4 linked regions of the Elephas maximus indicus genome follow. The protein of the gene in region 1 purifies or fractionates together with the protein of each later gene. This does not show direct contact. Links are inferred from orthologs where the notes say so. Each region holds a gene or a part of one and is shown on either strand. Other genes may lie near its edges. The genes, in order: PRKACB, PRKAR2B, CDK5RAP2 and AKAP9.

What was found.
Region 2: the proteins of PRKACB (region 1) and PRKAR2B purify together in Homo sapiens (affinity purification with mass spectrometry; 7 studies listed by BioGRID and IntAct, counting the BioPlex papers as one, with this or other methods). This does not show direct contact. The link is inferred for Elephas maximus indicus from reciprocal best matches to the Homo sapiens genes PRKACB and PRKAR2B.
Region 3: the proteins of PRKACB (region 1) and CDK5RAP2 purify together in Homo sapiens (affinity purification with mass spectrometry; 4 studies listed by BioGRID and IntAct, counting the BioPlex papers as one, with this or other methods). This does not show direct contact. The link is inferred for Elephas maximus indicus from reciprocal best matches to the Homo sapiens genes PRKACB and CDK5RAP2.
Region 4: the proteins of PRKACB (region 1) and AKAP9 purify together in Homo sapiens (affinity purification with mass spectrometry; 5 studies listed by BioGRID and IntAct, counting the BioPlex papers as one, with this or other methods). This does not show direct contact. The link is inferred for Elephas maximus indicus from reciprocal best matches to the Homo sapiens genes PRKACB and AKAP9.

What each region holds. Positions count from the first base shown.
Region 1 is NC_064821.1:133,355,829-133,363,801, reverse strand, and holds the start of PRKACB (cAMP-dependent protein kinase catalytic subunit beta), read right to left. Parts: upstream 3,006-7,973; 5' UTR 2,853-3,005; coding exon 2,666-2,852; intron 1-2,665. UniProt on the Homo sapiens protein: Mediates cAMP-dependent signaling triggered by receptor binding to GPCRs.
Region 2 is NC_064826.1:42,606,870-42,614,064, forward strand, and holds the start of PRKAR2B (cAMP-dependent protein kinase type II-beta regulatory subunit), read right to left. Parts: upstream 3,018-7,195; 5' UTR 2,933-3,017; coding exon 2,632-2,932; intron 1-2,631. Other genes in the region: rab11 family-interacting protein 3-like, read left to right, coding at 3,306-3,602. UniProt on the Homo sapiens protein: Regulatory subunit of the cAMP-dependent protein kinases involved in cAMP signaling in cells. Type II regulatory chains mediate membrane association by binding to anchoring proteins, including the MAP2 kinase.
Region 3 is NC_064827.1:70,482,790-70,489,616, forward strand, and holds the start of CDK5RAP2 (CDK5 regulatory subunit-associated protein 2), read right to left. Parts: upstream 3,003-6,827; 5' UTR 2,813-3,002; coding exon 2,757-2,812; intron 2,457-2,756; exon of another isoform or gene 1-2,456. UniProt on the Homo sapiens protein: Potential regulator of CDK5 activity via its interaction with CDK5R1. Negative regulator of centriole disengagement (licensing) which maintains centriole engagement and cohesion. Involved in regulation of mitotic spindle orientation.
Region 4 is NC_064826.1:61,953,987-61,961,832, reverse strand, and holds the start of AKAP9 (A-kinase anchor protein 9), read right to left. Parts: upstream 3,018-7,846; 5' UTR 2,802-3,017; coding exon 2,754-2,801; intron 1-2,753. UniProt on the Homo sapiens protein: Scaffolding protein that assembles several protein kinases and phosphatases on the centrosome and Golgi apparatus. Required to maintain the integrity of the Golgi apparatus. Required for microtubule nucleation at the cis-side of the Golgi apparatus.

The sequences.
Region 1 (7,973 bases):
AATTCCTGTTACTTAATTTAGTAGTAAATGATGAAACACATTAAAGGCAGCTAAAAACCACTATGTGTTTGGCCTTTTTTCTGTATCTCTTCCTATCTACATTTTCCTTGAAAAAGAAAGAACCTTGGACTAATGCTTGTTACTGTTTCACATCTGCCTAAAATGGTAATAAATCCTTACTCAATAGTTCATAAAACTAATTTTTTTAAAAAAGGTTTACATGCAGCTTCTGTGCTTAGTGGATTTCTTAAAATAGCACTTTTAGAACAAACATATTCAGAGTGTTTATCATCAGGAGATATTACATTCCTTCTTCTTGTCAAACAAGTCATGCCAGTAAATTGCTTTAAGTACCTTTGAAAAATGTGGTTTGTATGCAAACTTCATACAGTCAAAACTCTTTCCACATCTGACTGTAAAAATGAATAAAAATTTGTGTTCTGACCATAAAAATAAATCTTAGAAAAATTTGTGTTCTGAACCACAAAAATAAACCTTAGAATTGTGAAATAATAGGATTCTTCTGTTTCTACTCTATCAGTGTTTTCTTCTCTATCAACACAGTCCATAATAGGAAACTAGCGCTCCATGCATACTGTGCTCATTCCTTACATATATAAAATTACTGTGTCTAATAAGATCTTTGGAAACCCTGGTGGCGTAGTGGTTAAGTGCTATGGCTGCTAACTAAAAGGCTGGCACTTTGGATGCACTAGGTGCTCCTTGGAAACTATGCAGCAGTTCTACTCTGTCCTATAGGGTTGCTATGAGTTGGAATCGACTTGACGGCAATGGGTATTAATGATCTTTTGGGATATGAGAGGAGGCAGAAAGTGGAAGAATACTTGGTTAATGAACACTGAGTTACTCGAAGTATTTCCTACACTGTGTCTATTATTACGCGTAGGAATCGACTTGGGACAATGGATTTTTTTTTTTTTTTTTGGTTTATGCTTATTATTTGCAGGGTTACAAGGTTCGCCCCCGATTTTACTTGGGCGCAATGATCCTATTTATGTTACTTTGTGACTTTAGAGTAAGAAAAAAATGTTAACAGCGTTTTATCAATATGTATGTTTTTTCCAAAAGAAATCATGATTCATGATACCATCTTCCATTGCTAGACTTTAAAATGTGTATTCAGAAAACATCACAGGCCTCACACATTTAAAAAATGGTGAGAGTGTCGTTCAAACATAACTATTAATTATTAAAACCCCAAGACAGTCTCTTTTAAGATACACTTATTAAATGCCTATCATGGAGGAACAGTATTAGTAAAACAAATTAACTCAATACTATCCTCATCTCTCATTTAACTTTAGATTAAAAGATCTTTGAAATGCATAAAAATGATTTCCAAAAGGGCTTAGGGACGGCAGTTTAACAGAATAGGGGAAACAGAGTGAACAACAAACTTGTGTTACATGATAAATTTTGATAATGTACTGTTAACTCAATATTTAATAGTTCATAAACTTGGAAATATTGAAATTCTTCATTTGTCAATTTGGTATATAGTAAGAACTAACTATAAATAACGACCAGACTGTTTGGAGTGAAAACAATTTTTGTGCAAATATATGTTCTTATTCATTTTCTCACTTAGACAGTTTGAAGAAGGTAAGGAAAAAAAAAAAAAACCCCAATGTAGTAAAAAATAATTTGGATAGCTTTCACAGCACTATGAATGTGTTATATAAACCAAGAAGCAAATTTTGAAACTGTTTTTCTTTCTTTTTTTTTTTTTTTTAAGTGAGTTATCTTCCTTAACTGCTGAGGAATATATAAATGAAAGAGGCAAAACCTAGTGCTATTTGATGACCAAACAAACACAATAAAAAGGGCAAGAGTACCAAGGGTGATTCTATTGTTCCTTTAGTCAGAGTGACAAAAATACCTTGGGGAGGGTACAAGGTGAAATGCAGAATGGAGGCACTGGTATTGTTATATGTGAAATTTATCTTTTAACATGTATGTCACCAAAAATGGTTTCATATCATTGTGTCAGCAGTGCAGTAATTCCAAACATTTTTAACATGCCTAGAAAAATGTGATGCATGTGTAAACAACTCATTTTTTCCCTTTAGCCGTAAGTATAAATTACATAAAATACCATGATGGAAGCTTTAGATATTCATAATGTTATGTGAGATTTCACATAGAATAATCATACTACGCTTTTACTTTAGAAAACCCTGCTTGTTAAACTGAAATAACTTTCATGTGAGCATTTAAAAATAAAAGATATCAAGCACAATAGAAATTTAAAAATTCAAGAGTCTTCTTGTCTCTTTTGAAGTTTAAGGCTTATGAATCAGAGATACTTTTAAAAAGTAAACTATCGTTTCTAAAATTTAAGCATTTCATTTTACACAAGACCAAAAATAAAACTAAAACCAAAAACGGTAATGTACTCTAGAAATGATGTCAGAATTTTGAAGAAAATTTTTCAACTGATAATCAACTTAGTCATATAACTACATGATTCAGCTAAACTTACAGTAAAGTTGAAACTTATTCCTTCAACTTTATCTTGCAGAATGTCCTATGAAACTATTAAAAGACAAACTAAACATGGTCTTTATATGGTTGATTTTAAATCTCCAATTACTGTTTTAGCTGCTAATTAGAATGTATCACTTAAAAATAAAACAAAACTTACTTGATCTGTCCCATAAGGCAGTATGTTCAGAGAAATGAAGGCTGTCATTTTCCAAAGCTGTTTTCTGATCATGTGCAGCACCTTTAGAGTGTCTATGAAATAATCGGCTAGCAAAACCTTCCAATTTCTGAAGAGCAGTAGTTGTACCTGTATGCTGGTTACAAGGTAGTTCTCTATAAGCTGCCATTCACGTGCATTTACGCTTTACTTAAAGCAACTAAAAATATTTCCAGAAGGAGCTCAACAACTTCTTACACTGAAGCTGAAAGCTATGCATGTGTCAAACTTCCTGTTTGCAGGGTATTCAAATTACTACTGCTGTTGTGTTTCCTGTTAATATAAAACAGCACATTTCTAAGCTTTTCTTAGCACAAGTCTTTATATCTAACTAGAGATGGTGATTTAAAAAAAAAAACCCTGCAATATCTGCCTAAATGTATAAAACAAAACAATGCTTTAAATTAACAGTGTTTTAATGTTAACCCATGTTAATGAGAGCAGTAAGTATAAGGACTTATATATACAGTAAAATATATATATATACACAGTAGGCTGAAAAAAAGAAAAATAGTTAAACATATATTACAACCCTATGCTAACAACAGAGGCCCAAGCCACATTTCAAATATACCATGTTCAAAAGAAAGGTTTTATTTTTTCCAGGAAATCAGCTAACATACAGATTTCAGGCATCCTTGTCAACAGTTAACTTTACAACAAAACTGGTATGGAATGGATATGATAAAACTCTCACAAAACAAATTTATGACATATATGTCGTAACTAAGGAAAAACCTGAACTAGCACTTAAAAAAAAAGAACTGAATGTTGCTAACTCATTCACTTAAGCGTAATGTATACAGGAACTACAGAAAGTGAGGATGTCAGTATTGTTCATCAAATTTATAATCTGCTGACGAGTTTTTATATTTTAAAAACATTGTAAAATTTGGAAAAAGAAAATATTTAAGATTTAAAATCAGTCATAGCAAGAGATTTCAAGCAGGAGAAAACAGTTCCTTCTGGCTGACTGAGAGTGGCCTGAGACCTATTTATTTTAAAAACTTAACACTGAGGACTGCTGCTTACCTGATCCCTCATTTAGTGGTCTCATTTAGAGACATCTCCTCCTATTAAAAGTAAATAAAATTTGCCATTGTCCCCTTGTAGGAAAACAAAAGGCACGTACCTGTGGCATTTAACAATGATTTTGAGCACCTGTCTTCTGAGACTAACAAATTAAAGGATGAGAAATGTATGTGCTTTTGTCTTTGGAAGCTGTAATAAGGACTACAGAAAAGAGAGAAAGAAAGAAAAATATCTTTAAAAAATCTAGAAACTATCTTAGTCCAGATTTCCTGCCAACTGTTTTGAGAAATACAATAAATAGGGACAATAATAACAAATAGAATAGGAAAAATAATGTAATCCAATTACAACCCTCCCCACACGCACGCACACGCACAAAGGAAGCAATCACTAGTGACTTTGCAAAGCAACAGCTCATTTGTGTACACTTTTTTAGGTAAAATTAGTATCACTCTAAAAAATAGGCAGCAATATCTGTAAGACTAAACTTTTTAAATTTGTAGCTCTATATGAATATTATGTATGTGTATACCAAAACCAAGCCCATTGCTATCCAGTCAATCCAGGCTCATAATGACCCTATAGGACACAGTAGAACTGCCCTACAGTGTTTCGGAGAAGTGCCTGGTGGATTTGAACTGCTGACTTTTTTGTTTGCAGTCAAGCACTTAACCACTAGGCCACCAGCGTTTCGGAACAGTAATACATAATTTGCTTATTCGTGTCTGACAGTGTCTTACACAAAACAGATACTGAATAAGTGTCTGTAGACTTTAATAAACATCTACAGAGCACAGGCTGACTCCGTGTGGGCAGAAGCAGATAAAATTGCTGAATTCTTTTGAATTCAGGAATTTCTCCTGACGGAAATTCTATTCATCCTCAAGGCTCACCGCAAATATCACCTCTTCAGTGAAGTCTTCCATATGCTTCCAAGAGAAAATAAATCACTCTCTCCGCTCTTTCCACTGATCTTGTCATTTATGTTAAAATTTGCTATTTATGAATTTATGCCTTCCTAAATTTTGAGTTACTTGAATTCATAAAAGCAATGCATGCATTAAGTACTCAATAAATATATTTAGATGTTCAATAAAATATATACTGAATGAAGTATAAGTTCATTTTCAACAACTTAAAACATGGTCTAAGTAATCAAGCATTGAAAATGCTTTAATTTTATTTATGATAGGATTTTATTTGTAAATAATCCAGAAAGCAATAAATTTCTCATATATAAAGACTACAGTAATAAAAGTAGTATCATCAAACTTCTCCTTTTACTCAATATTCAATGAGTTACTACTTTGTATTCATTCTGAGTTCCATTTTCATTTATTTTTACTAGGGCAAATTGTGGATTTCTAAGCTTACAGTCACCCCCTTCAATCATTCATCCCTCTGCCGTATTAATCTCTCCAAAATATTACGCTCATGTTATTCCCTTGCCAAATGCACAAACTAATCCTAGTATTTCAGCACCGTCTTATTCATTTTTAACACAAAATGTCTAGTCAGGCTTATATTCAAAATTGCTTGAGTTAAGTATAAGAAATTCCAGATTCCTAACTAGTACTAAGATTATTTAAAATAACATATAAATTTTACAACAAAAGTAATTGCAATAGAAAAAAAAAAAAAGCATTAGATGAGTATCTCTAAACTACATCTGAAATCTGTACATCTTTTTCAAAAAGGCTGTTTCCATTTGTTAAAAAGTCCTTATAGAAAGTAGAATATTTAGTCCTTAGAGTAATGTTTCTATATATGGTAATGTGACCAGGAAGCTGTTGCTGTGGAAGTCCTTAGGCAGTTTGAATTTTATTTATTGAAAAAAAAAAAAAAAGAACTCTACTGGCATCTACTGCTAGAAAGAAACAACTACAGTTTTAACTAAAACTATGAATCCCTTCAAAATTCACATTAACCTTGAGTATGCTTGCTATTCTTCCTGATGGTATTTTCGGAATCTTAATTTGTATTAAAATGTCTAACTACGCACCCAAAATTTGCTGTAATATTATAGCTTATCTACTAAGAGACTGTAATTAAACAATGTATCATTTTTACCACTGGAGAGTAATCATAAGTATACATTCCTTATTATTCATACTGTATTAATTACAGAAATTATGGCAATTTTCAGAGATAAACCTGCTTTGATTGCCAACAGATATCACAAAATATGGTATATTATATTTAATAATAGTAATGATCCCTTACATTTGCCAAAAACACTTTACAACCCATAGTGGTTTCCACAGCTCATGAGATCCTTACCAATGAAGTAAGCAGGACAGGTAATATTACTCTTATTTTAAGTTGAGAAAAAAAATCTTACAAACATTAAGTGGCTTGCCCAAAGTCACCTAGGCCTTCAAAATTCCTGGAATCAGGACTCTTTGTACTGCCCAATACTGATTACCAAAAAAAAGAAATAAAAAAATTTTAAATGCAGAAATTTTCAAACAAAGGTGGGAGAGTGAATGGGGAGAAATCAGTCTTCGAATATATTGCCCAGGGTCTAAGAATCTGCTATGGAATTTTTTTTCATTCAGATAGCCCCGACTTCAAAACATATTAAACAGCTACAATAATCAGAACACCCTAGTACCGGTTTAATCATCGACACACAGACCAATGGAATTGAATTGAAAACCCAGAAATAAATCCAAACATCTATGGTCAATTGATTTTTGACAAAGAAGCCAATCTTTTCAATGAGGAAGCTACAGTCTTATTAACAAATGGTCCTGGGGAAACCGGATTTCACATGCAGAAAAATGAAGCGATATCCATACCTAATGTCATGTACAAAAACTAATTAAAAATGGATCAAGGACCTAAACGTTAAATCTAAAACCATAAAGTTCTTGGAAAAAAACACAGAAGCAAAGCTATGGACCTAAATTTTTGCAATGATAGATTATCAAACACAAGGAATGCACATGCAGCAGAAAACAAAATAGGTAACTGGGACCTCATAAAAGTTAAATACTTACGTTCATCAAAAGACTTTATCAAAAGAGTAAAAGGACAACCTATAGACTGGGTAAAACACCTCCAGGAACAATATAACCCATAAGGATCTAATATCTAAAATATATGTAAAACTTCTAAAACTTAACAAAAAGACAAATAATACAAAAAAATGGGCAGAAGTCATGAACTGACACTTCACTACAGAAGGTATTCGAATGGCCAACAAACACATGAAAAGATGCTCAAGGTCACAAGCCATCAGAGAAATGCAAATCAAAATCACAATGAGATACCATTTCACTCCCACTAGGATTGCTAAGATAAACAACAACAACAACAAAAAAGGAAAATAACAAACACTGGCAAGGATGTGATGAAACTGAAACCCTCATCTATTGCTGGTGGGAAGGCAAAATGGTACAGTGGTTGTGGAAAATAATCTGGTGGTTCCTAAAAAACTAAAAATAGATCTATCATATGATCCAGCAACTCCACTCCTAGAGGTCTAATACAAGTGACACGAACAGACATATGCACACCTATGTTCATTGCAGCACTATGGACAACAGCAAAAAGATGGAAACACCCTAAATGCCCATCAATGGATGAATAGCAAGCAAAATGTGTTACATACATACGATGGAATACTATTCACAGATAAAGAAAAATGAGTTCCCAAAACATCCCACAATGTGGATGAAACTGGAGGGCATGACGTTGAGCAAAATAAGTCAATTCAAAAGCACGAATATTTTATGTTCTCATTTTTATGAAATAACAAGAATAGGTAAATATATAAAAACCAGAAAACCAAATCCAGTGCCAGTGAGTCGATTCTGACTCATCAGAATTTCCAAGGAGCGCCTGGCATATTTGAACTGCCGATCCTTTGGTTAGCAGCCATAGTACTTAACCACTAAGCCACCAGGGTTTTCGGTAAAAGAATATATATATAGAGAGAGAGAGAGAGTGAGAGAGAGAGTGTGAGAGAGAGAGAGAGACTAATAAATAGAGTTACTATGAGTCAGAATCAACTCGATGGCATACAACAACAATGTTCACTGAAGGGGCTCTAGTGGTACAATGTTAAGCACTCACTGCTAACCAAGGGCACACAACAATGTTCATTAGTGGTTATGAGGGGTGGGAGTGGGGGTAACTAGAAAAGTATCCCCTAGGTAATAGTCATTTTTTGTTTATGGTGATGGAAAAGGTGGCACCAAATGTGGGTGAAGTT
Region 2 (7,195 bases), on another chromosome or scaffold:
ATTGCCCTTTTCTGAATCAAACTTCCCTGCCATGCATACTAAAATTTAAGAAATATTAATCCAGCAGGTCTTGTTCTATGTCACAGTAAAGTAAGACTTGTCTTCCAGTAATTGTTCTTTACTATGATAGAAGAATATCCAAAATATTAGTATTTTGGCACATTTCTGGATATAGATATCAAAAAGATAGGATCAGATTTCCTAGGCTCAGTCTTATTATTCTTTCCCCAGTGGCACTGTTCTTTTTCCTCTGACCAGGGGTGGACAAACAATGGCTTTGGTCTGCAGCCAGTTTTATACAACCCCAAACCCAGAGGTAAAAAAGTTTTTACAAGTTTTAAAGGGATGTAAAAAGAAATAAACAAGACTCTTCGACCAAGATCATATATGGCTCAAAATACTACCTGGCCCTTTATAAAAAGTTTATCTACCCTTTGGAGCCTATAATTGTTTTTTAAACAGCGAGTGTAAACACAAGTGACTTTTTTTCTTTTTAGTAAGAGAAAATTAATAAAAACAGAAGATATCAGAAAGCACTGTACCTACTAGAGAGATATATTGTTACCAAAGATTCAGTTATACATATATATACACACGTGTGAACTGAATCATGACCAAATTATATGGGGTGCACTCAAAAGTTTTAAAATCTGCCGGGAGTAGGGTTGGGGAATAAATAGTACGATGGGTCGACAAATAAATAAACTCACATTAAGAAATTTTTACACTAAAAGTGTCTTGGAGAAGAAACATAAAATGATCCCTGCTATTTAAAAGTTAACAGCTTGTTTCTTTTTCTGCAAAATGGAAATAAAATCTGTTCTGCACACAATATACATTGTTATAAGGGATAAAACAGAATCATCAATTCAAAGCACTTGAAAAGCATTACACAATGTATTATTAGCTATATTAACAATACAATATATCCAACATATCTAGGTTCTTTACCAAGTCCCTTAATTCCTAGATTCCTCCAACCTGGGGAGCCAGCTCTTTTTTTCTGTGTGTGGTGTGCACTGACACATCAAGAGCATAAAAGAAGTACAGTATAACATGCCTCTGCCCTTTCCATATCATGCATTATTGGCTTCTCTTGCCCATCTATTTAAAATGTATACTCTTTTATCCTCTTGTTTTTAGTAAGAAATGCATTTGATAAATTCTTGTGCAAAAAAAAAAAAAGTTATGACTATGATTACTCTATCCTGGGAAACACTAAAAAAAATATCCTGGGAAACACTAGGAGCCCCAAATTAAAAATGTTCAGTAACAATCTTCCCTTTTATCTTCACAAAGCACTAATTTCCAGGATTTGTGTAACCACTTTAAAATATATATATATATATATATATATTCTTTTTTTAACCACTTTGGACAACTTAAAATTACATTAATTTTAAAACCCATTACAAGATGTAATTCTGTGAAGAAAAGAAACACTTTCATAGTCGCATATACAAGGAAACGAAATGACGCCTTAAAACGTTTTCATTATATGGAACGCGCTGCAGACACACAAACCACAAGCAGTGTAAATAAGTAAAAGCTGGTGCAACGCTGCCTGTATGTTTGCCTTACACCACAAAGAGAACACACTTGCACATTTACACACCATAGTATTTTAGTCTGAGATGCCATAAAGATGGGATTTAGTCGTGCTGTGTAAATACAGGGGTGTGTGTGTGTGTGTGTGTGTGTGTGTTGACGAAACAGGGTTGTAAGCATAAGGGGAGGGACTTGCCAGGAGCAGCTACTTGAAAAAAATTATTATTTCTTTCCCATTCATTCTTTGGAGTCTGGCACAGTCCAATTACTCACTCGCTTTTCGTTCTAAAGACAACCAACAAGCTTTCAGAACTTCCTACAGTGTTTTGCACACACACTTAAAAAAAAAAAAAAAGGCACCAAATCATTCAATATGTGTTTTAAATAAAAAGCAGATCATTACCCCGTTTTCCAAAGGCCCCATGGGTTGCAGGCTAAGTAGGATCCTTTCTTCTGAGTACAGAAATAACACAGCACAGTATTGGTAAATTGGAAAATAATAGATTACTTTGTTTCCAAGAATGTCAAAGCTATTACCATAAATTTCGTTCTGCCCCAGCGAGTTCCAATTTCATGCTCCTTTTGGTGAATTTACCGTCATAACAACAATAAAGCCAATCAAATGTAACAGCCCTCGCCTTTTCTCTTTGGACACTCCATTAAATACAAGCGCAGAAAAGAACGCCAAGGGGGCCAACTTCCTTTATGCACAATGCTATCCGTCAAGAGCAGTATGTTAAACCACAGCGAAAGTTGTCTTCCTATCAGATGCCCACTCCAAACCGGGCCACCTCTGCCTCGGTGCCCAGAACGAGAGAGGGCAGATGGGCGGGGAGAACAGTAACCTTTTAGCTCCCCCAGCTCCCCAGGAGAAGAAGGAGGGAGGGCAAGACGCGGGTAGGAAGGTGGGCGAGTGGGAGACAGAAATGGATGCTGAGGGGGTGGGCGTGATGGGAAGGAAGGAAAGGTAGAGAATGCGGAGAGGGATGGGGAAGGCAAGCTCCAAGATTAAAGCGCAAAGCGGGGTATGGCAATCGGGGGCGAGGGGGTCCAGGAGGCACGGGGATGGGGTCCGGACCTCACCGTTGAACGCCCCTGAATCCGCGGCCTCCTCCTCCTCCCCGTTTTCGGAGTCGGTGTGCACGGACTGCTCGGCGAAGTTGACTCCCTTGCTGGGGGTGCCGCCCCCGGTGGCGGCGCCCACGTCCCCCCAGATCCTGCCCTCATGGCCGAAGCGAGCGGCGCCTTTGCGCTCGTTCTCCTGCTGCAGGCGCGTGAAGTGCTGCAGGGCGAACTCCAGCAGGTCCGCCGGCTGGTGCCTCAGCACCTCCACCGTGAAGCCCTGCAGCAGCTCCGTCAGCCCCGCTGGGATCTCGATGCTCATCCTGCCTCCGGGGCGGCGGGAGTCCCCGGGGTGCCCTGCGCGGGCGGCCGCCGCCCTCGCGCCTTCCCGAGTCCGGCCTCGGCCGCGCTGCCGCCGAGCGAGCGCGGAGGGCGCCGGCAGCGCTGTCAGCGGCGAGCGCGGCGCACTGGGGCCCGGCCGCCCGGCTAGCGCGGCCCGCGGCTCCCGGCGAGCGGCTGCTCCGTGCGGCAGCTGCAGCGGCGGCGGCGGCGGCGGCGGCGGCGGCTGAGCGAGCGCGGCCCGGGTAGGGCTGGGAGCATCTCCACTCCTCCCGCTCCCGCCGCCGCCTCAGCTCCCCCAGCCGGGCCGCCCCGCCCCCGCCCCGCCGCGGCGCGCCCACGTGACCCCGGAAACCATGGCAACGCAGTCGACGGGCGCCGCGCTCCTGCCACTCGGACTGCCGCCGGGCGGAGGACGTTGGCGGGCGCTGGTGGGCCCGGAGGCGCGCTGCCGGCACGTGCACCGGCCTAGAGGCCGCCGGTCGGCGCCGCTGCCGGGGCTCCCGCGAGGGAGGCCTCGCTGTCCCCCCGCCCCCGTCCCCAAACCCAGAGCGGACAGTCCACGCGCCCGAATTCCCACACGGCATCCACCATCGCGAACCGCGCAGAGCTGCTGCCACGCGAGTTGCCCTGAAACCTCAGCCTCCACCTCGGTAGTGGCGCTTTGTTTTCCTCCTAGAATCTAGTTGTGTTGATAAGTGTTGGTAATATCTTTTGTTTACGTTCATAGAGTGGTGTTGGTTCTCTTTCAGACAAAGAAATAATACATCATCCTTGTGACATCATTCTAATTTTTCCTTTCACCTCATTTTATCCAGCTTTTCCCCATCCCTCCCGTTTACTTTGTTTTTTGCTTCACTGATACTATTCCATTGTGTTCTCGAAGCACTTACTACTGTACACCGAGACAACTGCATCATTTATCGTGAGACTTACCAAAGCTAGGGATGCCCTGCAAACAGGATAGTACAGCAACTTGAATAAAATGTCATAATCAGGACAGGTGGTCATTAGGCAAAAAAAAAAAAAAAGCTTTGCCTGATTAGCCTCTTCTGTTTATTAAAAAACTTTCCTTTACAGTTTGAGTGATTTTGAATTATATTAAATAATTGAATTATATCTCCAAAAATAGGAATACTTAAGTACAAAGAGAAATAGTATTAAAATGTGTGCTTTTAAAGTAGAAGTGCTTGATTTTGATATGAGGCTTATTCTGCAAGCGTTTACAATTTTGAATTAGAGAAAATTGTCTTTTGCTATTTAAATACACATACTTCATTTCTACATTGGCCACCATATCACTGTAAAAAAAAATAATTCAAGTGCAACCTCACTCAGTCGTTTTGGTTTATGTTTCCACCCATCCAAAAGGGTAAATACATAACTCAGAAAACTCAAAGACTGAAAAGCAAGGTGCAACAAAGTAGTCCCTTTAAAAAAATGCATCTTGATATTAACCTTCCTTTCTTTATAATCCAAATTGTATTCACTCTCAGTGAATATTTCTATATTTCCATTTCTTATCAATCTGATAATAATAATGTTATGTTGGTTTTTAAATATACTAAAGTGCTTCTAATTGTGTCAAATATTTTTAAAAATAAGCTTTTATAGAATACCATGACCCTCACATGTCATTGTTTGGAAAACAGTATTAAATTCTTTTCCATGTAAGCAGTATTTTATTTACAGATCCAGTTATCTAAGATGAATATGCATCATTAGTTTTCATTTATGATGATGGTTGTATTAAGATTAGCATTGTCTGCATGTGGCAGAAAATGCAAAATACAGCGGCTTAAGCAAAACAGAGGAAATCCTGGTGGCGTAGTGGTTAAGTGCTATGGCTGCTAACCAAGAGGTCGGCAGTTCGAATCCGCCAGGCGTTCCTCAGAAACTCTATGAGGCAGTTCTACTCTGTCCTATAGGGTCGCTATGAGTCGGAATCGACTCGACGGCACTGGGTTAAACAAACCAGAAATTTATTTCTCTGTAATGTAAATGTAGGCAGTCCAGAGGTTGTATGGTGACTCCATGATCTTCAAGGACCCAGGCTCCTTTGTTTTGTAAACCTCATTTGTGTCTTGTACCTCGTGGTCCAAAATGGCCACCTACCTCCGTTCTTCTCATGTATGTTTCAGCCAAGTGGAAAGTGGAAAAAGGAAAGGGAACTCCCCCTCTACCGCGCACAGTTAAGGGACACTTTTGGGAAGTTAAGCACACCAATCCTTCATATCCTGTTAGCCAGAATTTAGTCACGTGGCCGCACCTATGGTGTGGTAGATTGCATTTTCCGAAGATGGCTACATTATCTCCTATATCATCTGCTCTTCTATATCTGCTCTTGTTCCCCCGCATCAAGAGTTGAAGTCTAATTCCCCTCCCCTTGAAGCTAGATGGGCCTCTGACTGCTTTGACCAATAGCACGTGATTGAATTCACGCTAGCATGACAGAAGGAGCAAGCCATATGGTGTACTGTCTGAAGTCCTGACCCACAGAACCCATGAGCATAACAAAAGAGTTGTTTTAAGCCTCCACGTTTTGGAGGTAATTTGTTACACGGCAAAAGTAACTAAAACACATGGCTATACAGGAAGTTTGGGAATGTAATCTTTATTTTGAGCAGTCAGTTGCCCAGCAAACATTTGAGAGTTAAAGAAAACCAATTTGGGGAACAATTATCCATCTCTGCTCAATATTTAACACCTTCCCCCCTTCCCCCCTCCCCCGCCCAGGAATGACAGAAGAAAAAACCACTACTTTTCCAAACAGTTACAAGAACCAGATGTCAAAGTTGTAGGCTACGTTTTGTGTTTCAAACGGCTTTTATTCCTTTTTGTAGATTTAGTGTATGATAACTAGTAAATGGCTGTCTGCCATCAACTACAGTGTCAGGGTGGTGTGACTGTTATTTCTTTAGGACTATGTAAGTGACTTAATCATGAAATTCATAATTGGATTATATGGCCTATATAGGAGCCCTGGTTAAGAGTTCACTGACAACCAAAAAGTTGGCATTTCGAATCCACCATCCACTCCTTGGAAACCTGTATGGTCTCTCCAGGAGCCCTGGTGGTACAGTGGTTAAGCACTCAGCTGCTAACTGAAAGGTCAGGTATTCGAACCCACCAGCCTTTCCTTGGAAGAAAAGACCTGGCAACCTGCTTCTGTGAAGATATCAGACTAGGAAATCCTGTGGGACAGTTCTTCTCAGTCCTATAGGGTCTCTATAAATCGGAATCAGCTTGATGGCCCATAACAGTAACAACAATGGTCTCTCCCAGCCTAGGAGAGCCTGTAATATTTAAAAGGCGTATTGAATTTAAAATATCTTTGTAAACAGCTGTCTGATAACAATTTTTATTCGCATAAATTCTTAGATCCACAACTATGACCTGAAGAAGTAAATGTTGATCCTGATATTCTGATTATGTTAATACTGTTCTCAGAACATTCACTTCTCAAATCATATTTTGACTTTTATTCACTCACACGTAACCTTTCTGTATAAGATTTCCTTTGCTTTCGTTTTCAGCATATTTCCTTTTGAACCTTGGAGTGCAATGACAGTGGTTTATGGGACTATTCATCTTGAATTCTTTAAAAGAACATCACTGGTATTGATTCTTTGGTTGTTGATTTACAAAGCAATTTGTGCTAGTTTCTCAGAGAAGCAGACTGGAAGCAATTGCAAAAGAACTGCAAGAGCTAAGAATGAAATAAGAGTACTACAAAATTTGTTTCCACTCATGGGAAATTAAACAGATATTAGAGACATCAGCTTGTTTATATGAAGCTGCCAAAACAAGACCACAGCGTGGGCAACCCAATGGTTTGGGCAAGCTTTACAATGGACAGTAATAACTCTAACTAGTCAATTATGCAGCATTTCATATCAACAGTTAAGATGTATCTTAAGTACAAAAATATATATATATATGCACTTGAGCAGGGGTAGGCAATTGAAAGGATACACAGGGCTGTGCTTGCACAGAGACCACTGTGGCAGTCAATCTCAGTTTCATATACCTTTAGGAATTCAGCACTGACTAGCACTTTGGTGTCTCTAATTCAAATTCTCAAGAGAGAGAAGCCAGTTGGTCTTCACCATCCAATGGATTGGCTGACTTTGAATGAGGGGTCCTCTCCTGAGAGGTCAGTGTGGTCAGTGGGATGCCAGATTAGAAGTGGCCAGGTAGTATAAAAATTTGACAGTCTGCCTCTTCAACAAGAAGAAGAGTCCCA
Region 3 (6,827 bases), on another chromosome or scaffold:
TCAACTGCAAAAGGGGGATTACACTGTCACCTCAAAGGAGCATTGTTTATTCGGTGATTCAACAAGGAGTTACTGAACCCCTATTACATGTATTAAAAAAAAAAAAACCAGTGCCGTCGAGTCGATTCCAACTCATAGCAACCGTATAGGACAGAGTAGAACTGCCCCATAGAGTTTCCAAGGAGTGCCTGGCGGATTCGAACTGCCAACCCTTTGGTTTGCAGCTGTAGCACTTAACCACTACACCGCCATGGTTTATATAAAATGCAGTCCCTATTCTCAAACAGGTCACAGGATAATATAGGAGACGGGCCATTTAACAGTCGATAACTGTGCTGCCCAGTACAGGAGCCACCAGCAATATGTGGCCAATGAGCACTTGAGAAGTGGTTAGTCCAAACTGCAAAGTACTATAAGGGTAAAATACACACTGGATTTCAAAGACTTAGTAAGACAGAATGTAACATCTCATTAATAATTTTTTCTACTGATTTCAAGTTAGAATGATAATATATGTACATGTTGGGTTAAATAAAATATATTAAAATTAATGTTACTTGTTTCTTTTTTAATGTGGCCACCAGAAAACTTTAAGTTACATATATAGCTCACATATGTTTCCAGTGCATAGTGCTGGTCAGTAAAATTCCGTGAAGTAAATAAGGCCTGGGATAGGGTAAATTATGGGTGGGACTGCCTAAAAGAGTAGAAGGCCCAGGTGGGGATGGGGAAATGTCAATGAAGTCTTCCTGGCAACGACATCTAAACTGAGACCTGAAAAAAAACAGGCATTGATAAGGCAAAAGGAAGAAGGAAGGACAATCCAGGCAGCAGGATCAGCAAGCACACAGGCCTAGCAGCAAGAAAGGAAAAGGCAAGATCATTCGTAACCAAGAGTTTGGCAGTGTGGGGAGAAGTCAGGGTAGGGAGAGTAAGGGTAGAGGAGGCTAGAGAGGAAGACAGGGCCAGATTATGAAACCCTTGGAAGCTGTATTAAAAAACTATACCCTCAGGGCAGAGAGTAGTCAGTGGGGGTCTGAAGCAGGGAAGTAAGAGATTAGTAAGAGACCCAGGAGTGTTTCGGGCAACGGCAAGGAGAGAAGGGAGGCGAGGACATTTGCTGATCTGGGTCGCACACTGGGCTAGGCCCCTTCATACTCATTTTAATCGTTATACCAACCCTGGGATTTATACCAGCCCATCTTACAGATGATGAAAACTGAGGCTCACAGAGTGCAAATGCCCTGCCCAAGGTCCCAGGGCTGTTAAGTGGCAGAGCTAGGATTGAAATCCAGACTACTTTGGGTCCCAAAGCCAAAGTACTTGACCAGCAGCACCGTCTTGAGAAGAGTTGTCTGAGAGAGTGATAATGGACTTTACCTTAAGGGCAATGAGAAGGACTAACAAGCATAAAGCAGCAGACTGTCAAAAGCAGATTTACATTTTTAAGAGTTTTTAGGCTATAATATAAAGGACTATTGGAGGTGTGAAGGAGGCCTCAACAATCCAGGTGACAGGCAATACCCCAATATGTTGGGGTAGTTACAGTAAGATAGAGAATAAAAAACTACCAAAAGGATGAAATCAGGTTGCAGCTGCAAAGGGCCTTGCTCTGTGCCTGATATACAGTAGGCTCTCAACAAACAGCATAACCACTTTTCCAGGTTTGCCCAAGATAGGACCTGTTCACGCCTGCTGTCCCAGCATAAATATCAACAGTGCCCTTAGAAGCATCCTGGTTTGCACAATAAATTACATGGTCACCTTTCAATTAAGACCTGCTAACTAAAAGCAGCAGCCTGTTCCTTGCAGAGCTGAAGAAACACTGAAGGTTCTTACTCAGGTTCTCGTCCATTTCCTTCTACCCATTCTCCAATCAGGAGCCTGAGACCTGATGCAGTTCAGAGCTGTCAGGCCTTCCTACCAGAAGGTGAGACCCATGGCTCCAGCAACAAACAACGTGGACTCCAAAAGCCTCTTGGGCCAGGTCCATTGGGAGGCCAGTCTTGGCCATTATTCCCCAAGTTGTGTTATTATTAACGATAATAACGGCACCACACGATCACTTTTTAAGCACTAATTATGTGCCAGGCACTAGACTTGTCAAGCAAACTGCAGGGCAGGCATCATCTCTTTTAATCCTCACAGCAATCCTGTTAGGTGGATATTACTACTATCCCCATTTTACAGATGGGAAAGCAGATTACTGGCACTTTACCAAGGTTACACCGCTAGTCAGTTTGGATTTGCGCTGGATTTGAATCCAAATCTGCCCAACTCCAGTTCAGTCTCTCAACCACTGCACTCCACTGCCTCAATCTTGGGTGGCCACTATAACGCCCTATGCACAAAGACTGGACGTATCGATTACACTCCCCATAATGAAAGCAAACCCCCACACCAGAATGAACCATCAAGTCCCTTCAAGGTCCCTGCTGAGGGCGCCACATCCCCCAACCAGCCCCTACTAACGGCCCCCTCCTCCTGCTCTTTCAGAAAACCCCTTACTGGTGCCTCACAGCCTCCTCAAATTAAGACTCTGAAATACTAGAGGTAGCTGTGGTCGGGACCCTCACACACAGTATCAGCTGGTGGGCCCCTCACAGAGATACCCTAAGGAACCCAAACAACACACGGCTTCTATCCGGAGATGCTCAAACACCCCAAGAGCAAACCCCCAAGGCCGGGTTAGAGCAAACCCCCATCAGTTGGAAAACCAGCCCAGTTACCGCGAACCACCAGCGCCCGGGCCGCACCTGCAGCCGCTGAGAGTCCCGGGGAGAGTGACGTCCTCCTCCAACGCCGAGTCCATCACGGACACAGAGACGGTGGTGGCGTTGATGTCTCTAGTGGCGGCTTCACTGGTCCCCCCTCGTTGTCGCGCGACCCGCCCGAGTCCCCGAGGTCCCCGCCCTCTCCGACCCAGCTCTTGTTCGGATTCTGGCGGCGCCGCGGAATTCAAACCGCAGCCGCCGCCATCATTCCCGGCTCTTCTTCCTACGGAAACGAGGCGGAGTCACCAGGGCGTGCACAGTGAAGCCAGCCGTCCGGAGCCAGAAGCCGGGCAGAGACGCGCAAGCAGGCGCCATCTTAACTAAGGGCAGAGCCCCCCCCCCCGTTTGGGCGAGTAAGGCTAGGCAGAGAGAGGCCAGCTGCCATTTTTTATGAGGGCAATCAGATCTATGCCAGCGCAGGCGCCATCTTTATTTAGGGCTCGAAGCTGCCCCTGATCCGTTAATTTAAGCGGGATATGCGAATACAGGGCCCTACTAACCCACAGGGTTCTGGACCTGGTACCCGAAGCTTGAGGTGTGTGCATCCAAACGGCTTCTGCCTTGAGTTGAAACTCAAATAATCGGGTACTGCCTCGTGTTAGAAAATCCTACATGTGGAATTCCAACTCAAACAGTAATTTGCAAGCTTAGTTTGAAGCAAATAAACTCATCCCTGTGAGCCAAATGGTTAGCTACACTCGCACTCCAATCCTTTACCTAGCGATCATTTGTTGCCTTTAGGGCTCAGACATGTCTAAGATCGGTTGACTGAGGCCCAGAGAGAGGAAATGACTTACCCAAAGTCATACACAGTAAGTTTGTCAGTTGGAACCAGATCCTCAGCTCCTACCAACTAAATCAGGGCTCTCCATAATCCCTTGCTGCCTCTCCTAAAGTACATAATAACCACTAAACACCTAGGTAATTTCGGTAATGGTTGTCCAGCGAAATTCCCGTCTCAGTGCTGCTACCTTCTTCTGCAGGCTGTTAAAAGAGTCCTGGATGAAAACCATTTGGAAAGATAGGTGCGTGGATGGACGGTGACTTTTCCTGCAACCATGAACAAGTCCCCTCTTGGCCCCAGTTTCCTCATTCTTGCATTTAAGTGTGACTTTCTAAAAGAGGCCTTCCCTGATCCTGTAATCAAAATCAGGTCCCTCTCTTGGATGTTCTTAGAAACCCATATTCTTCCTTTGTAGCACTTGCTATGTGTGTTTTTAATGTCTTCCTCTTCCACTAAACTGGAAGCTGCATGAGGGCAGGAACTGTATTCTGAATTGTTCACTGCTATATCCCCATCACCTAGTATTGTGCCTGCCACCTAGTAGGGGTTTTTAAATATATGTTAAGTGGATGAAGAGTCAATAAATATGGAAAATGGGACTAACACCTATCCTTCAAGATTTTCATATGACCTGAGTATCTTTTGGAGGTCAGTCAGTGGTAATCCCACATTCATTCATTTTCTCTGTTTTCTCTCTCCTCTCTTCTCCCTCCTCTCCTTCCTCCTGCCTCCCTCTCTGTCTCTTGTTGAGGACAACAAGGCCCACAGTTCTGCACCTGATCTTTCCCAGGCCTTCAACCATGATCAGCAATAAGAAAACAAAAAACGGTTGGGCAGGAACTAGATGGCACAGCACTTATGCCCTGCCCCAGAGAAGGGGCATTCCTTGAAGCCCTGGAACTGACACTCCTTTCCAGTGTTAATTTCAATGGATGAAATGAGTATTCCAAAAGCAGGGAAGCTGGGGTGTCAGGGTTCCTATCCTGGCTCTGCTATGGACTCTCTGTGATCTTTGGCAGACCACTTCTCTTGTGGCCTCAGTTTCCAACATCTTTAAAATGAGAAGGTTGGACTGGATGGGCCTCTCAGGACCTCACAGCTCTAGAGGTTATTTTTCTGTGTTTATTTCAGAGCTATTAACACAAAGCCTGTTGGTGCCATGTTTAAGAGCTGGGCTGCTAACCGAAAGATCGGTAGTTTGAATTCACCAGGCGCTCCTTGGAAACCCTATGGGGCAGTTCTACTCTGTCCTATAGGGTCACTATGAGTTGGAGTCTACTCCACAGCAATGGGTTTTGTTTTTTTTAACACAAGACTAGGGGCCAGTGGTGGTTCCGTGGTAGAATTCTCACCTTCCATATGGGAGACCCAGGTTCCATTCCCAGCCAGTACAGTACAGCTCGTGTGGAGCCACCACTTCTCTGTCAGTGGAGGTTTTGTGTATTGCTATGATGCTAAACAGGTTTTAGTGGAACATCCAGGCTAAGATGGACTAGAAAGAAAGGCCTGGAGATCTACTTTTAAAATGAACCAGTGAATCACCAGTGAAATTGCAATATAATTTTTTTTTTTAATAAATAAAATGTTTTTAAAAAATAGACAACAGATAAGTAGTAACTTTGGTGAAGGGTAAGATAGTACACAATACTGGGGAAGCCAGCACAACCTGTCCAAGGCAAGGTCTTGGAAGCTCCATAGACACACCCAAACTCCCTGAGGGACCGAATTGCTGGGCCAAGCACTGTGGGGACCATGGCCTGAGGGAACATCTAGCTCAACTGGCATAACATAGTTTATAAAGAAAATGTTCTACATTCTACTTTTTAAAAGCCTTTGAGTGGCCATACTCCACTGATCTCACCCCTTCGGGAGCAGGGAAGAATGAAGAAAACTAAAAACACAAGGGAAAGATTAGTCCAAAGGACTAATGGGTCACATCTAACACAGCCTCCACCAGACTGAGTCCAGTACAACTAGATGGTGCCCAGCTATCACCACTGACTGCTCTGCCAGGGATCACAATAGAGAGTCCTGGACAGAGCTGGAGAAAAATGTAGAACAAAATTCTAACTCAAAAAGAAAGACCAGACTTGCTGGCCTGACAGACTGGAGAAACCCTGAGAGTATGGTCCCCGCACACCCTTTCAGCTCAGGAATGAGGTCACTCCTGAGGTTCACCCTTCATCCAAAGATTGAACAGGCTCCTGGAACAAAACAAGACTAAAAGGGCGTGCCAGCACTGGAGCATGGACTGGAAGGCAGGAGAGAACAGGAAAGCTGGTAATAAGGAACCCAGGGTTGAGAAGGGAGAGTGTTGACATGTCGTGGGGTTGTTAACCAATGTCATACAACAAGGTAGTGTTTGATGAGAAACTAGTTTGTTCTGTAAACCTTCATCTAAAGTACAACAAAAAAAAAGGAAAAGAAATAAAGTAAATAAAATATTTTTTAAAAACCTATGGATCACCACTAAAACCACAATGAAATATTATTTAAAAAAATAAATAAGGTAAATAAAATTTTAAAAAAACACCCTATGGATCACAATGCTTTCTTTGATCTGCAGTCAATCATGAGAATGGCACAGGACCAGGCAGTGTTTTATTCCTTTGTGCACAGAGTCATCGTGAGGTAGGGGCCTACTTGGCAGCAGCTATATGAACCAACTCTATTCTGATGAGAGAGGCTGAGAATAATAATCATCAGTTCCCAAATGAAGGAACTAGCTTTTCACTTAGCAGATGAAAGCTTTTGAGAAAGGAAATAAGGAAGAGAACTCACGCATTTTGAGCATCTATGTGTCACTTACGCCAGACATACCACATGTACCACCTCATTTAACCTCACAACAAAGCTCCAGAGTAGGTACTACTATTCTCCCCACTGTACCTACAGATGAGAAGACTGGGGCTCAAAGAGGTAAAAATAACTTGCTCCTGTAACAAAATGAGGGTTCTTGTCCTGTCCTATTAGCCAAACGAAATAAGACAGATGCCACACCACCAGTTGCAAGGGAAACTGAAGGTGGAGATTTATTGTCTGCACAGACAAGGAGCAATGCAGGGTCTATTGATCATAAGGCCACGTGTTCACTGTCTGAGGGGGTTGGGGAGTTTTCTATTTCCAATGGAGTCTGGGGGTTGGGGTTGGTGCCTGGAACTCTCTGCCCTTAGCCCTCCCACATCCCTATTTGGAGGTGGGGATGTTGAATCACATCAGTGATGTTCAGGTGCAAGGACAGATTGAGGACACAGCTCTTCAGGTCCTGT
Region 4 (7,846 bases), on another chromosome or scaffold:
AGTCTTCTTTGTAAAATATTCTTAAAGATGAGGTAGCGGCATTTAACACATTCTCACAAATGAAAAAAATAACCCAAAATCCTAATGCACCTTTTCTGTCATTGTACTTATTACACAAGGTCTGTCTCTCCCGCTAAACTGTAAGTCTCTTGAGAGCAGGGACCGTGTCGCCACCTCTCTATTTCCATCCCTTGGTATAAGACAGGACTTCAACATTTGCTGATTTGCTTTTCCTTTATAAAAGAGTCTTTTGGTCCTAATCTGCAAGCACACATTATTATATAATTAAAATACTAATGTATACACTATTTTTGATAATGCTGTTTTCACTCTATTTTCCATGTTCCAGTCTTCATAATATTTTAAAGCTACAAGCTATCCCACTGCATTTATAAATAACTTAGAAAATCTCCTAATGTTGTCTTTGAAGGTTGCTTCCAGTGTTTTTATATTGTAAAGCTCATGTTGCAAACATACCTTGCCTGACAAGTTTCACAGATCTACTTCTCAACAGAAATATTGGGCTCAACTCAAAAAGATAACCTTGTACAGTAAAAACTAAAGTTGAAATATAAAGATTTTTACTCCAATAGATAGAATTTTGAAAGACAACACACGTATACACAGAAACTAGAATTCTATTTTGCCAAATCAACCATACTATAAGTCCTCTATTTTGAGATGTTTTTGTCCAAAGTAAACTATGTTGTATAGGACTGCTTCACATATATTAGAAAAGATAATTCTGGGGGCAGACAGTAAAAATTCTGAGGTAAAAGACAAGATTCAATAATTAAGTCTAAATAGAACTTCAACGCTTTTGGAAGGGGGCACGCACTTAAGTCCCACTTCCTTGGGTGCATAGAGCTTGCTCAGATCCTCAGGTTGCTTACAAATATAATCAACTTTGGGCTTCTGGAGATGACCTGATTCCTCTTTCCCTCCATTTATAGATTCTAAAATAATAATCTACTCATATACCTATAAGCACTTAAACCTTGACCTTAACCAAAAAACCAAACCCAATGCCACAGGACAGAGTAGAACTGCCCCATAGGGTTTCTAAGCTCTAAATTAAAAAAAAAAATAAATAAATTTATTGTGCTTTAGGTGAAAGTCTACATAGTAAACTAGTTTCCCACTCAATAATCCACACATTAATTGTTCTGTGACTTTGGTTGCAATGCCCACAATGTGTCAGTACTCTCCCCATTTCCACCCTGGATTCCTGTTTCCATGCGTTGGGCTTCCCTGCCCCTTCCCGCCTCCCCTTCTTTGCTTTTGGGCAAATGCTGCTCTTTTTAGTCTCATATAGTTGGTTGTTCTAAGGAGCACATTCCTCACAGGTGTTAACTGTTTATTTTACAGGCCTGTCTATTATTTGGCTGAAAAGTGATCTCTGCAAGTAGCTTCACCAAGCTGTAACTCTTCACAGAAGCTGACTGACTGCCACATCTTTCTCCTGCAGAGGGGCCTGTGCATTGGAACAGGGACCTTTCCGTTGGCAGCCGAACCACTGTGCCACCATAGCTCCTTAAGCCTTGACCTTAGAGTGAACATGTGAAAAAGTGAACTATATTGTAGTGATAGGAAGTTAGCTCACATACTTATTCATTAACAAATTTGGCTGAGCATCTAACTAATGCATTTCTGCAGTATTGGTTCTTCATTGATTACCAAAACCATTGACCAGGTTTCCTTTGTTTGTCTATTTGGAGAAGAGAAGGAAGAAACAAAAAACAGCCAACTATGTTATAATTTAACTGTGGTTCAATCATGATTGCTAACAATTACCTCCAATAAGACAGTTAAAACAATCTATAAAAGGTAGCTCCATTGTAGGGAGAAGAGGACCTTTGAGGACAAATGATATGCTCAAACATGTAATTTTTTAAAGAAAAATGCTATTTAATTTCTATTTTGTCTATGTCAATTTTTTCATGATGCCCAATGAGTGATATATTTATAGTTTTATACTGTGTTCTTTACAGGCTTTTTCATACATGCATACACACACACACAATCGCGACTCACCCAGACAAACACAACAAACCGTTAAAACAGTATTTAAAGCAGGAATTCTATAGCTATTGCTGAGGATATGGAATCTTTCCATTCACAGACTGCATTAACATTCCACACAATACAAAAGCGCATGCCATGACAAAGACCTCCAAACGCAAACATATAAAGCACGCTTCTAAAAACGCCCCTAAAGCGAAGTTCACAGCTGGCACTTGTGGCACCCTCAAGCCACTGCTGTGGCAGCTGTCACAGGCCAATCACACACACCCAAGAGTGCCAGCGTGCCACCTAAAGAAGCCAAGCTGATGATCAGCGCACAAATCCCCCACCGAATAAAGCCCCAAATCCCCACCCAGAAAAGCACAATGCCTGCACCACCCAGAAAACAACCTAAAAGAGTGAAAAGCTGGAGATTTAGAGGCAATACATACTAGCTAATAGCAATATAGTAAAAGAGGCGTTTCATTTGCGCATTCACGAGAAAGAGCCACACGATCCAATCATTACGGAAGCATTTTTTTTAATTTGCTAGATGGTAGCACAGGGCTTTTTTCTCCTGTGGAAAAAGGGGAGAGGGTGGCGGGGGGAAATAAAGACCCTGCAGCACCTTCCTCCCAGGCAGCGAGCGCACTGGGGCTGCTGCGATCTCCGCTTCCCAGGCTCCCCTCCACCACCCCTTTCCAGGCGCCGCCTCCCACCGCGGGCCCGGCTGCGCCCGGCTTTCCTACCTTCGCTTTGCCGGCCTCCAGCTTCTTCTGTCTCTCGTCGTCCTCCATGGCCTCTGCGGAGAAGGGTGGGGGAAGACGGGAAAGGGATCGAGGGTAGAAAGGAAAGGTCGATTCAGACGGAGGTCCCGGCCAGCTCCGGGGCCCAAGGAGCAGGGCCGGGCCCAGCGCTCCCCGCCCCGAGTCGAACAAGTCTCCGCGCTCACTGGTGGGTAGTCCTCGACCGCACGGGCAGCGCCGTCACCACCGCCGCCATCTTCGTCTCCACGTAAACACGCGGCCGGGCGGGAGGGGGGGCACGTCAGTCCGCGCAGCCGCCGCGAGCCTCGCCGCACCAGGCAGGTGCGCCCGCGGCCCTGAGCCGCGCGCCGCCCTGGGAGCGACCCCGGCCGGCAACCCCCGCCACCTACCGGCGAGGGGCGGGCGGGAGACGGCGCCCTCCCGACCCTAGACCTTCCTGGTCCTCACCAGGGATGAACGGCTCCCAGGTTGCGGCGGGGTTGGGGGTGGGTGGGGTGAGGACGAGGTCTGACAGAGGGTACCCAGCCCGGCCCCCATTCGCCGTCCTACGGACTCAGTGGTCGCTTTTAAAACCCGTTGCCGTCAAGTCCATTCCGACTCATAGAGACCCTACAGGACAGAATAGGACTGCACCCCATAGAGTTTCCAAGGAGCGCCTGGTGAATTAGAACAACTGATCTTTTTGTTAGCAGCCCTAGCACTCAACCACTGTGCCACCAGGGTGAAACTGATAAACGCTGAAAATCCCCGGAGGAAAAGTGGTGATAGCCCTGGCGGTTGTATCCTTTCACTGTACCTATTCAATCTGTATGCTGAGTAAATAATACAAGAAACTGGACTGTATGTAGAAGAACAGGGGATCAGGATTAGTGGAAAATTCATTAACAACCTCCAATATGCAGATAACACAATCTTACTCGCTGAAAGTGAAGAGGACTTGAAGCACTTGATGGTGAAGAGCGAAGACCACAGCCTTCAGTATGGATTGCACCTCAACATAAAGAAAACAAAAATCCTTAACATAAAGAAAACAAAAATTGGACCAACAAGCAACGTCATGATAAATGGAGAGAAGATTGAAGTTGTCAAGGATTTCATTTTACTTGGATCCACAATCAACAGCCATGGAAGCAGCAGTCAAGTAATCAAAAGACACATTGCATTGGGCAGATCTGCTGCAAAGGACCTCTTTAAAGTTTTGAAGAGCAAAGATGTCACCTTGAAGACTAAGGTGTGCCTGACCCAAGCCATGGTATTTTCAATCGCATCATACACATGTGAAAGCTGGACAATGAATAAAGATGGCCGAAGAACTGACACCTTTGAATTATGTTGTTGGCGAAGAATACAGAATATACCATGGACTGCCAAAAGAATGAACATATCTGTCTTGGAAGAAGTACAACCAGAATGCTCCTTAGAAGGAAGGATGGCGAGACTGCATCTTACGTACTTTGAACATGTTATCAGGAGGGATCAGTCCCTGGAGAAGGACACAATGGTTGGTAAAGTACAAGGTCAGTGGTAAGGAGGAACACCCTCAGTGAAATGGGTTGACACAGTGGCTGCAACAATGGGCTCAAGCATAAGGATTGTGAGCATGGCACAGGATTGGGCAGTGTTTTCCTCTGTGGTACATAGAGTCACTATGAGTCGGAACCATCTCAACAGCACCTAACAACAACAACAACATAGAACCATGTAGAAATGCCCCATAGGTTTTCCAAGGCTGCAATCTTTACCACTGCAGATCGTCACTTCTTTCTCCCAAGGAGCGGTTCCAAGGTTCAAACCAAGAACCCTTCAGTTAACAGCTGAGCACTTAACCATTGCACCACCAGGGATCCTCCAGTAAAAAGAAAAAAAATTACAGATTAGGAAACCCTATGGGGCAGTTCTACTCTGTCATCTGGAGTCACTATGAATCAAAACCAACTTGATGACACCTAAGAACAACAATATAGGTGAATGGTATGTAAAATCCAACCTGTTGCTGCTGAATAAATTTTGACTTATAGTGACCCTACAGGACAGAGTAGGACTGCCCCATAGGGTTTCCAAGGAACAGCTGGTGGATTTGAACTGCCAAACTTTTGGTAAGGAGCCTAGCTCTTTAATGACTGCACCACCAGGGCACCAATGGTATATAAATAAAGAAAATAGGAGGGAGCATAGTGATTTTTCTTCCATATTTTATGAAGGCCTGAATGGTCATTTTAATCATTTAAAATGACTTGCTTGACTTCCCATGGTTGGGTAGCAAAAGTCCTGGCTGGATTAAGATCCAGACTTCCTGACTCAAGTCTTACTCCATTTTACTAAACTGCTTTCCAAACAAAATGAGTACTAGAATAAAAATATGCATACAAAAACAGAATGTGTTAAATAACACTTATGACAAATTTGTTGGTGTTAAGATTTCAAAAAATAATGCATAGGTAGGAACAACCCAAGTGTCCATTAAACAATATGTGATATATACCTACATGCCATGGAATATTATTCAGTCATAAAGAGAAATGAAGTTCTGACATGGATGAACCTTGAAAACATTATACTGAGTGAAATAAGTCAGACACAAAAGGACAAATTATTCTCTGATCCCACTTATATGAAAAATCCAGAATAGGCAAATGCATAGAAATTTGCCTGTTCTGGAGGGAATAGGAGTCAGTTATTGCTGAAGAGGTACTGAGTTTCTCTTTAAAACCAAAAAAAAAAAAAAAAAAAAACACGAACCCATTGCCGTCTAGTCAATTCCAATTCATAGTGACCCTATAGGACAGAGTAGAAATGCCCCATAGGATTTCCAAGGACTACCTGGTGGATTTGAACTGCTGACCTTTTGGTTAGCACCCATAGCTCTTAACCACTACGCCACCAGGGTTTACAAGTTTCTCTTTAGTGTGCTGAAAAAATTTTGGAAACGGCAAGTGGTGAAGGTAGCACAACATATTGAATGTAATGTCACTGAATTGTCCACTTACAAATGGTTAAAATGACAAACTTGTTATACGTATTTTGCCACAATAACATTTTTTGAAAATGTAATTCATGACTTAGGAAACTAGTACACATTTGAAGTGGCTTATAATCTAATGAACTGTTAAAAAAATCTAAGATGTTACTATTATCATGATAAGGAATTATAAACCTGTAATTCAAGACACTGCACTGGATTACTGAGTAATAAAATATATACTGACATCACCTTGAAGGATTTTCATATTGCCAAACAGTCATGGAATGTAAACTAAGTGAGCCCCCAAAAGAGTTGTATCAAGGGTCCATATAGTGTTTACAGTAAAAATACATTTAGTTTAAATATGAAAAGAAATATCAAGTAATTAATCCTTAAGTGTCTCTTCTGTTTCAGCCAAGAGTCTGTGAAACTTTAAGTACCCACTATGCTTACAACCCTTTTTTAAGGAAATCGCCTTGAGTTCCTGGAGCCCTGGAGGCATAGTGAATAAATCGCTGTGCTGCTAACTGAAAGGGTTGGTGGTTCAAACCTGCCAGGCGCTCTGTGAGAGAAAGATGGGGCAGTCGGCTTCCGTAAAGATTGTTGTTGTTCTTGTTAGGTGCTGTCCAGTTGGTTCTGACTCATAGCCACTCTATGTACAACAGAACAAAACACTGCCTGATGCTTGTTATGCTTCAGCCTGTTGCAGCCACTGTGTCAATCCATCTCATTGAGGGTCTTCCTCTTTTTCACTGACCCTCTACTTTACCAAGCATGATATCCTTCGCCAGGGACTGATCCTTCCTGATAACATGTCCAAAGTACGTGAGACTAAGTCTCATCATCCTCCTTCCAAGGAGCACTCTGGCTATATTTCTTCCAAGACAGATTTGTTCATTCTTTTGGAACTCCATGATATATTCAATATTCTTCACCAACACCATAATTCAAAGGCATCAATTCTTCTTGGGTCTTCCTTATTCATTGTACAACTTTCTCATGCATATGAGGCAATTGAAAATATCATGGCTTGGGTCAGGCACACCTTAGGCCTCACCTTGACATTCTTTGCTTTTCAACACTTTAAAGAGGTCTTTTGCAGCAGATTTGCCCAATGCAATTTGTACTTTGATGTCCTGACTGCTGCTTCCGTGGGTGTTGATTGTGGATCCAAGCAAAATGAAATCCTTAACAACTTCAATCTTTTCTCCATTTATCGTGGTTTTGCTTACTGGTTCAGTTGTGAGGATTTTTGTTTTCTTTATGTTGATGTGTAATCCATACCGAAGGCTATATTCTTTGATCTTCATCAGTAATTGCTTCAAGTCCTCTTTGCTTTCAGTAGGCAAGGTTGTGTCATCTGGATATCGCAGGTTGTTGATAAGTCTTCCTCCCATCCTGATGCCATGATCTTCTTCATATAGTCTAGTGTCTCGTATTATTTGCTCAGCATACAGATCGAATAAATGTGGTATAAGGACAGAGCCCTGACATACACCTTTCCTGATTTTAAACCATGCAGTATCCCCAACAAATGCCTCTTGGTCTATGTACAGGTTCTGCATGAGCACAATTAAGTATTCTGGAATTCTCATTCTTCACAATGTTATCCATAATTTGTTATGATCAACACAGTTGTATGTCTTTGCATAGTCAATAAAACACAAGTAAACATCTTTCTGGTATTCCCTGTTTTCAGCCAAGATTCATCTGACATCAGCAATGATATCCCTTGTTCTGGGTCCTCTTCTGAATTGGGCTAGAATTTCTAGCAGGTCCTTGTTGATGTACAGCTGCAAATGTTTCTGTTGGATCACCTGTCTTTGGAATGGGCACAAATATGGATCTCTTCCAATCGGTTGGCGAGGTAGCTGACTTCCAAATATCCTGGCATAGACAAGAGAGTGCTTCCAGCATTGCATCCGTCTGTTGGTATTCCATCAATTCCTTGATCCTTGTTTTTTGCCAATGGTTTCAGTGCAGCTTGGGCTGCTGCTTTTAGTACCATCGGTTTTCGATCATATGCTACCTCCTGAAAGGTTGACCAATAGTTGTATGTCGATCAATTCTTTTTGGTACAGTGACTCTGTGTATTCCTTCCATCTTATTTTGG